2 linked regions of the Coturnix japonica genome follow. The protein of the gene in region 1 interacts with the protein of each later gene in a biochemical or structural test. Links are inferred from orthologs where the notes say so. Each region holds a gene or a part of one and is shown on either strand. Other genes may lie near its edges. The genes, in order: RUNX1 and ELF2.

Region 1 (3,808 bases):
CAGGTGCTGATTCCTTGACCTCCAATGACACAAGTGGGGTTTTCATGCAAGCCACAAGCTGAGGCACCCTCTGTCAATACCGCAGATAGTTAAAATCTGGGGCTTTAGTTGGTGGATGGGCAATGAAGAGACTTGTAGAGGTATGTTCAGGATACCCCCTGTGGTAACCCCAGGGGGATGCTGCACCTTTGGTTAATTTAATTCAGACACAAATGCAGTGCATCAGAGGGGAAGGCTGATTGCTGCCTGGTTGGCCTGAACGTAGCCTGTAGGACCTGCTTGCCTGTGCATGAGGCTGCTGGGCTTTAGGATAGCTTGGGGCTGTGACAGGAGCTGCAGCAGCCTGGCCAGGAGAGAAGAAAGCAGGGTACGAAGAGGTCAGGCTGCAGACTTAACAGCAGAAAATGGCTGAATTGAATTCAGGATGAGGAGTAAATTACACTGGGGGTATGAATTTGGAAGGATCTAAATCTTGGCTCTGCAAGACCTCAGGTCAGACTGCTGAAGCTTAAGCTAATCCAAATGCATGAGGTATTTTACACATCTTGTATGACTCCATGTGTTCACATTTAAGTCCAGTGTCAGGAGCAGCATCCAGCTCCGTGCTGCTGACAACCAAAGTGCTTGCTCTTGGCCCACCAGAATATCCCATAGAAGTCTTTTTCATCTTTCTCCCCTCCCTCCACCGCCTCCCTTTTTCTTTTTGGAAGCCCTAATGGGTCTCTTAAACAGTGAAACCGCTGCTATATAATATGTCTTTTTATATTTTAATTTTTTTTTCCCCTCTTGGGATAATTTATAGCACAGTGTGGAATCTGAGACAGTTCATGCTGTGCCAAAGGGCCTGGCAACAGGAAGAAACGCCGAGCCACTGAGATTTGGAACCATAATACGAGTTATAAAATTTAATTTTAGAAATGCAGCTACTGGGAACTGTTTTTGAATGTACATTTTCCCCTTAGTGCATAAAATGGTCTTGTGTCTTGATTACGCTTTTAGGTTGGCATGAAAGAGTGCTCTGTAGAGTAAAGGACATACAGAGCTTTTTGTTGCTTATTCACCGATACGCGAAATTGGAAGCTGGGTGTTTATAAATGTTTAAATGTTAAATAGTATGGGAATTTGTGGATTATTTGGAGACGTTTTGTATCAGTCCATTTCACTGCTGATGCTTTGAGCTCAGGGAGGACTTGCCAAAGGAGCACAGGAGGTAGAGAGGCAAAGGAGGTGGAAATGCACAGAGAGCTGCCAAAAGCAACCTTTTATTGCAAGACGATGAAAATCGGGAGCAGACAGGCAGTGAAATATGATATTTGGCAAAAACTGTGGATAACACCACCTTCTTCAATGGAGCAAGTAGAACTGAAGATGTCCATTCATTGACCTCTAGGCTAGACATTTGAGATATATTCACATCAGGACAACATGCTTTCATGTAGAAAAGAAAGGGAAAGAATAAGCAACAAGATTCACAGGGCAGCTGATTTCATGAGACAAATGCAAAGTGCAGATTTGAGACTGGGGGGAAAAGAGGGTTGATGGCATCCATGTGAAGGTCCAAAGCAGAAGGTGCTCTCTCTGGAGCTGAGGATCCTATTCCACTGACTGAATACAGGTGGGGTTTGGGTTTCTCATACTGCTGCTGCAATCAGTATCTTGCTCTCTGTTTCAAAAAGCATCTTTGATAGGACAATTTGTGTTTCATAGACAGTCCTCTTATGGTCTTTCTGCTAACAGCTTGTTTCCTGTGAACTGTAAGAAGAAAAAGGTGATAGGTTAATTCCTAAAAAGGTGCAAATGAGGATAGAAAATTTGTGTTTTCATCGTGCTGAACAGAAAGCAAGTGCTGCAGTGGGTGAGGTATCCTTCGTGTATTCTGTGCACATTGCTACTGAGCAACATTACATTTTGTGGCAGCATTACACTGAGGGTCCCAGAGCAGAGAGCATTGATGGGCAGCAGTTAGAAATGCATTACCTTGCATACTGCTCATTGCTCCTAGTTAAAGCTTATATTGAAACCAGTACTGCCTGTGGCAAGACAGATCTCTGTTCTTCCAGACAAACCTGGATGTACCCCAATGCCATGCTGGAAGCAAGGCCTTTCCAGCTCCTTTCCTGTCCCCTGGCAGCCCCGTGAGGTCATGGCACCAGAGTGCCACGGGGACAGCATTCCAAGGCCTACCCTAGGCCTGGTCCTAGGCCCTGCTCCTCCCTCATGGCTGAGGCCAGTGCCACTGTGCTTCATCCTATTCTGCCATGTTAGGGTCTGCTTTCTTATATTTGGATGTCTGGTGAGACCTCATGTCTTGGAAACTCCTAGTGTTGCTAAGGGAGACATCATGACCTTGCAGCTGCAGTTCTGCCAGCTACTGGTGTTTCTTGCCTATTTCTGTCTAGAAAGCAATTGCTAAAGAGTCCAAAAATGAGATTTATTTGGGTTTGTTATTTTACAGCCCCACAGTACTGAGTACAGTACTTTATGACAGTCTAGGGTTGCATTTCAGATGAGTTACTCTGATGCAGGGTTAGCACAGGGACCAGCACAAGTTTCCTTCTGTTATTCATCCTGTCAGATGTTACTTCTTCTATAAAAACCTCTTCTCCCAGAGTGAGTTGTAGTAAGGAGGCACTGCTGTTTTCAGTGGGCCTGGTTCTTCAGAGTACGCCATGTCATGGGCTGCCCTATGATATGGTTTCAATGCACTGTTTGTTTCTCCTGTCCTTGCAGAGAGGTATTTTCAGTATAACTTCAGATAGCCACTCAGATACTTCACCAGTGGATGAGGGGTTTAGAAAGTAAAATTAAAAGAAAAGTCAACAGACCTCATGTATCAGTGAGATTTTCTGATCTTTTTCCCCCCCCTCCCACAATAGGACATCGTCAGAAACTAGATGAGCAGACAAAGCCCGGGAGCTTGTCCTTTTCAGAGCGCCTGAGTGAACTGGAGCAGTTGCGTCGTACGGCCATGAGGGTCAGCCCACACCACCCAGCCCCCACACCCAACCCACGAGCCTCCTTGAACCACACCACTGCTTTTAACCCTCAGCCTCAGAGTCAGATTCAGGGTAAGTACCCAAAATCCTCCCCTGCTCGCTCAGCACCCACCCAGCCCTGCTGAGAGCTCCTGGGCTCAGAGGCACTTCCTGCCTTGTTCCCATCTCCCTTTTTTGGCTGTCCCAAGACGCATGGACACCTTGCAAGTCTTTGTTTTCTTGCAAAGATGCATTATCACAGGCTTTTTTAATATTTATAGGTGTATTACTTGATGGGTAGTTATCAATTAATTGTGTGCTTGAATGAGACAGATGTGCTGTCAAGGCCTTTATTTGGCCTTTCAAGGGAGGCAGTCACAAAGTAAGCTTTAGGCAAAGGACCTTAGAGCCAAGACCTGAATGTGAGAGGGCTGGTTTGAACTTATTTCCGGGGCTGGTGGTTATCCACTGGGTTGTATTTGATTGAAAGCTTATAAAATGATGACTGAAGCCCAGTTTCCTCTGAGATGGAGGTTCACATATGCCAGTGAAACCAAGCAACCCAGTTGGAAAACTTATCCGCCTCCGCTGGATCTGAATCTGTCACTGCTAAGATCAAATCTGCCACCAAAATCTGTTGCAACATAGTAAGCAAAGGATCAGATCGCTACAGTCAGCTGATAACACAATTTGCAAAATGCATATCAAGGTGCAGGTTACAGTGAGATGCGTCAAAGGAAGGATGGAGCATGGTACTTGTTACAGTGAGAGTTGTTCCCAGTGTAGTTCTCCTCTGCTCTTCTGCCCAGAATGAATCAGTCATAGTTGAGGTT
Region 2 (4,317 bases), on another chromosome or scaffold:
AGTGCTGTCTCATCATCACACGGACAGTTCTGCTCTTAGGAGTGGTTTTTCTTGGTTGCATGCTGGTGTTGCCCTGCTTACTGCTGCAGCAAACAGCAGGTGTGCAGGATGAGGGAAGTAAACTTTATTCCACAGCCATGGCTGCTGAATGGTGTGGTAGGTAACAGGATTTTCCTTCGTTCTGGTCTCTACTCCTTCTCCTGGGAAGCTGCAGGAGATGTTGGCCCCTCCAGCTTTACTGGGGTAGGAAGAAGGGCTTCTGATATGCGTTGGTTTCATGTACAGATTCAGTGTCTTTTAGTTATCTAGAATCTTGCTTGTTTGGTGATAAATAGTAATTACCCGTTGGCTGACATGCACTCACGTAATCAAACAGAAGAGGGCACTCAATCAAAGGCAGTAGGGATGCTAAAACCCGGAGCAAAGAAAGCATTCCCCAAAAGCCGGAGCTGAACAGGAAGAAATAAATAATGCCTTCTTTTATTCACCGGGTTTTATTTTCAATAGCTTAACTGTACAGCTCCTTTTCATTCTGCTGCTGTAGTGAGCAACTTAGTTCCAGTGTAAACTGCGTGGTGCTGAGGCTGTTAGGGAAAGATAGGAGCCAAACCTGGCGTTCAAGACTTGACAGTTCTTCTGGTATTCTTTGCAGACATAACCTTCATTAATGTGGTATTTATGCTTGAGAATACAGACGTGAAACAGACTTAGGGTCCTCAAATTAGGCCCCACATCCCTGCAAAAAACATCTGACTCTTGTACAAAGTAGCATAGGGCTGGAGGAAACATTTGTTGCTTTGCCTCGTGCAGGGATACTAAGTGGCACTTGTTGGGGTCAACACCCCCTCTATCTCTACCAGCATTTGCCAGGGACTGACGTTAAGGATCGGCTCCTGCTACTGATGAGAGGTGGGTGATGTAAAGCAGCAGTAGATCCAGCAACTGAACAGCATCCAAGTGTGTGCACTGTTCAATCTTAGGCAGGCTGAGAGTGTGAAAAGACTTCAGTTTCGCTACACTACACGCTCTGTTACAAGGCTGGGCAACGCCGGGCTCCTCAGCCATGCGCCGTGGCTTCCGTGAAGCTTTTCCTTTAGTTATCGTATCCCGAAGGGCACTTACAGCCGGCTGTCTATCAGTGCCGGTGGTCGCACTGTTCCGCACCTCCCAGACCAAGGCAGGGAGGCTGCTGGCTGTCCGAGCCCGCACACGGCCGGCCGTTTCCCCCCAGGACAAGCCCCTGCAGAGCCCCGCACGGCGGTACAGCGGGGCGATGTGAAGCCGCCCTTTCCCGAGGCAGGCGGTGGCACGGCACGGCACGGGACGGCGCGCACCCTGAGCGGGGCAACGGCTCCTGCGGGCGCCTGCGCAGGGTCCGAGCGGCCGCGCATGCCCGCAGCTCCCCGCCGTGCGGCTCGAGCATGTGCAGAGGCGGCGCGGGGGGGCCGGGCAGGTTGAGCCGCGGCAGCCGCCCCGCCCGCCCTGGTCGCCGCCGCCGCGGGGCGGCCTCCGCCGTGCACGGGCGGCGCCCGGCCCCGCCCGCCGCCGTCCCAGGCGAGCGAAGGAGGCGGCCTCGACGCCGCGGGCACGGTAAGAGCGTGGCGCCGGTTCGCGGGGCGGTGACAGGCGGCCGCTCGAGGGCAGGGGGTCGGCGGCGATAGCCCGGGCGGTGCGCCGCGCCCGTTCTCTGCGGCGCTTTCGGTTTCCAGTGCCCGCTCTGCGGGCGGCTCCCGGCGCCTGTCAGCGTCGGCGCGGCCTGCGGGGCGGCGGGGCAGCCCTTGTTTACACGGGGCGCGGGGAAGATGGCAGCCCGGCGCCGGCCGCTCTGTCGCTCGCTGTCATGCGTGCTGGCCGAGCGGATCCCGGCCGGCCGCCCCCCCTTTCCCCGGCCCGGGGCGGGGTGCCCGCCGTCCTGCTCGTGCTTCGAGTGCGGGGCGCCCGGAGCCGTGTGCGTGCATCAGCCCTCGGCCGCTCCGGCACCAGCCCACGCGCTGCGCCGGGGGAATCCTCGGCGCTGCCAGGAGCGGGCTGCTGGTTATAGGGCGTCTGAGCGGCTCTGCTGTTTGTGACCTAAAAGGTGGGGGAACGGGGACTGCGTTTTGTGTCCTAACTTTGGACTGAAGCGGTGCGAACGCTGGCGTGTTGGAGAAAGCTTTATAGCGATGTGTTAGTGTACGTTGAAAGCTCCGTATGGGGCTTTGGTAAAGCTGCCTGTTTTATCGGGTGTCGAAGAACAGAGAGGTCTGGATCTGTGGTTGTTTGCGTGAACCGTTGCTTCCCGGATCCTGAGGAAGTGAAATACAAGGCTGCAGGTCCACGTGCCGTGGGTCTGAGCCAGGGTTCTCCGCACTCCGCCTATCTCCGTTGCTATCAGTTATTTCAGAAAGGTTCTGGGAGCGGGGCTCTGTTCTGAGGTTCCAGCAATGCCAGCCTCTGAAAGCCCCACAGCGTGAGGCTGTGCATCCTTGTGCTCCGCGGTCACTTAGGCTGGTGAGGGACTCTATCTCCATAACTTCTTGACTTGAATGTTCTTATCTCTTCGGCCCTTAGAACATCCTTTGTAAATGGATCCTGTTGTGTGCATGCCCACTTCCTCTGCTGTTGTGCTGGTTTGTTTTTAAACCCGCATCCTTAACTTTTTTCTTTGCGTTGATCCCTTCTCTTTTATTATGTAAAGCGATGAATAATTTTTCCTGAACTCTGGCCTGCTGGGCAGTAGAAACGGATGTTAAGGGCCAACAATTGGCACGACAGGGAGAGGAGGTCTGGTACCAAGCAGGGAGGTGAGGGATGAGGTTTCGGGACCAGTGGAAAGGGAGTCTGCTCATAGGGTAAAACATAGGAGGCTCCAGAAGAGGAGTGCTGAAGTCACAAAGCTTTCTGCAGAGTACCAGTGGTTTTTATGACATGATGAACTCGCATGTCCCGGGACTCATCAGCTTTAGCTACTGAGCTTCCAGAACAAACTTTGGATGGTCAGATTTCTCGTTCAATAGATATGGAAGTTGAGTTCCTTACTGGGTTGGTATGCTGTTAACTGGATCCAGTGTAATAATTCCTATGCATCCAGCAGTGGAGCGACTGCCCTGCGAGATGGGATCTCTGATACTTGGACACGTGTTGTGGCAGGACAGGACCACTCTCCTGTCTGAGTTCTTTCTCTGTATCCTTTGTTGTAGTTTATAAGGTGATATAACTAGCTCAGACTGTCTGTTTTGTTCTCCTGAAATGCAAAGATTGACCCACGTCAGCTTTTCGAGCCGACCTTGTGATTCTTTAGCTACAGAGAAGTTGTTTTTTCCTGCTTTTGCAGAAGCTTCTCTGATTTTAGACTTGTTCCGTGTTCCAAGGAAACACAGTGAGCTCACAATTTCTCCTGTCAGGGAAAGTGTCTTGGAAAGAACTTTCAGTCGGCAGAATGTGTTTTGTTTTGTCTTTTGAACAGCATTCTTGAAGTCTGTAGGTCTCAGGGTGAAAGCGGCTGTTGTACCCCTCAGGAGCCTTGTTGCAGTTAGTGGGATTCGGCAGTGATCTCAGCTGCTGCATTTCTGTGTGCATAACTGATTCTGCATTCAAGCCGACTTCTTTAGCAATTCTGACCGAAGCAAAGGAAGGCCTGCTTGAAAACACTGGTATGTGATAGTGCTGCTGGCCGCGGTCCTGCTCCTGCGGCTGTATCTATGTAGGTATCCGCATAAATCTATCCTTGGGGTTTTGGATGCCAACTGAATAAAAGGGAGACATTGTTCCAAGGGCTCTTACACATTTTCTGAGTGCTGCAGGAGCAGCTGCCTCCCATCAGTGCTACCCAGCGTTCCGGGTGTTTTTCTTGTTTTCTGTGTGGGTACAAGTGTGTGCAGCTTTTTTCAAGCACCGAGTTCTCTTTTTCTTTTGGTTGCTTACAATTGAAATAAAACTGAACCAACTCACAGATCTGTGCTCAGAGTTTTGTTTAGAGCCCAGCCTGGTGTAGGAGAGGTGATGTGCTACGCCATCTTTGTCATGCCAGCTCATCTACTTTAATGTTCTAATTCTTTTGAGCTCTGTGCTTGCTTCACTGTTAACTGGAGAGCAGTTGTGCACTGAGGGATTGACTTGAGGTTTTTGGTTTTGGATGGCTGTTACGTGCTCAGCACAGCTGTGGCATGCAATGTTTTAAACCTTGTCTGGTAGTTGCTGAAAGCATCATAGGAGTGGATTTGTTGTGGGGAGGTGCTTGGGTATGTAGCACAGGCCATTTTGCAATTCTAGTTTCTGAGGGTGAGAGCAGCTAGATTTCTTTCTGTTTTCCCACAGGTTATGTATAAAAAGACTTAG

The links.
Region 2: the proteins of RUNX1 (region 1) and ELF2 form a complex in vitro, tested with the Homo sapiens proteins (2 studies listed by BioGRID and IntAct). The link is inferred for Coturnix japonica from reciprocal best matches to the Homo sapiens genes RUNX1 and ELF2.

The regions. Positions count from the first base shown.
Region 1 is NC_029516.1:95,415,071-95,418,878, reverse strand, and holds part of RUNX1 (runt-related transcription factor 1), read left to right. Parts: intron 1-2,876; coding exon 2,877-3,068; intron 3,069-3,808.
Region 2 is NC_029519.1:25,639,017-25,643,333, reverse strand, and holds the start of ELF2 (ETS-related transcription factor Elf-2), read left to right. Parts: upstream 1-1,496; 5' UTR 1,497-1,590; intron 1,591-4,317. UniProt on the Homo sapiens protein: Isoform 1 transcriptionally activates the LYN and BLK promoters and acts synergistically with RUNX1 to transactivate the BLK promoter. Isoform 2 may function in repression of RUNX1-mediated transactivation.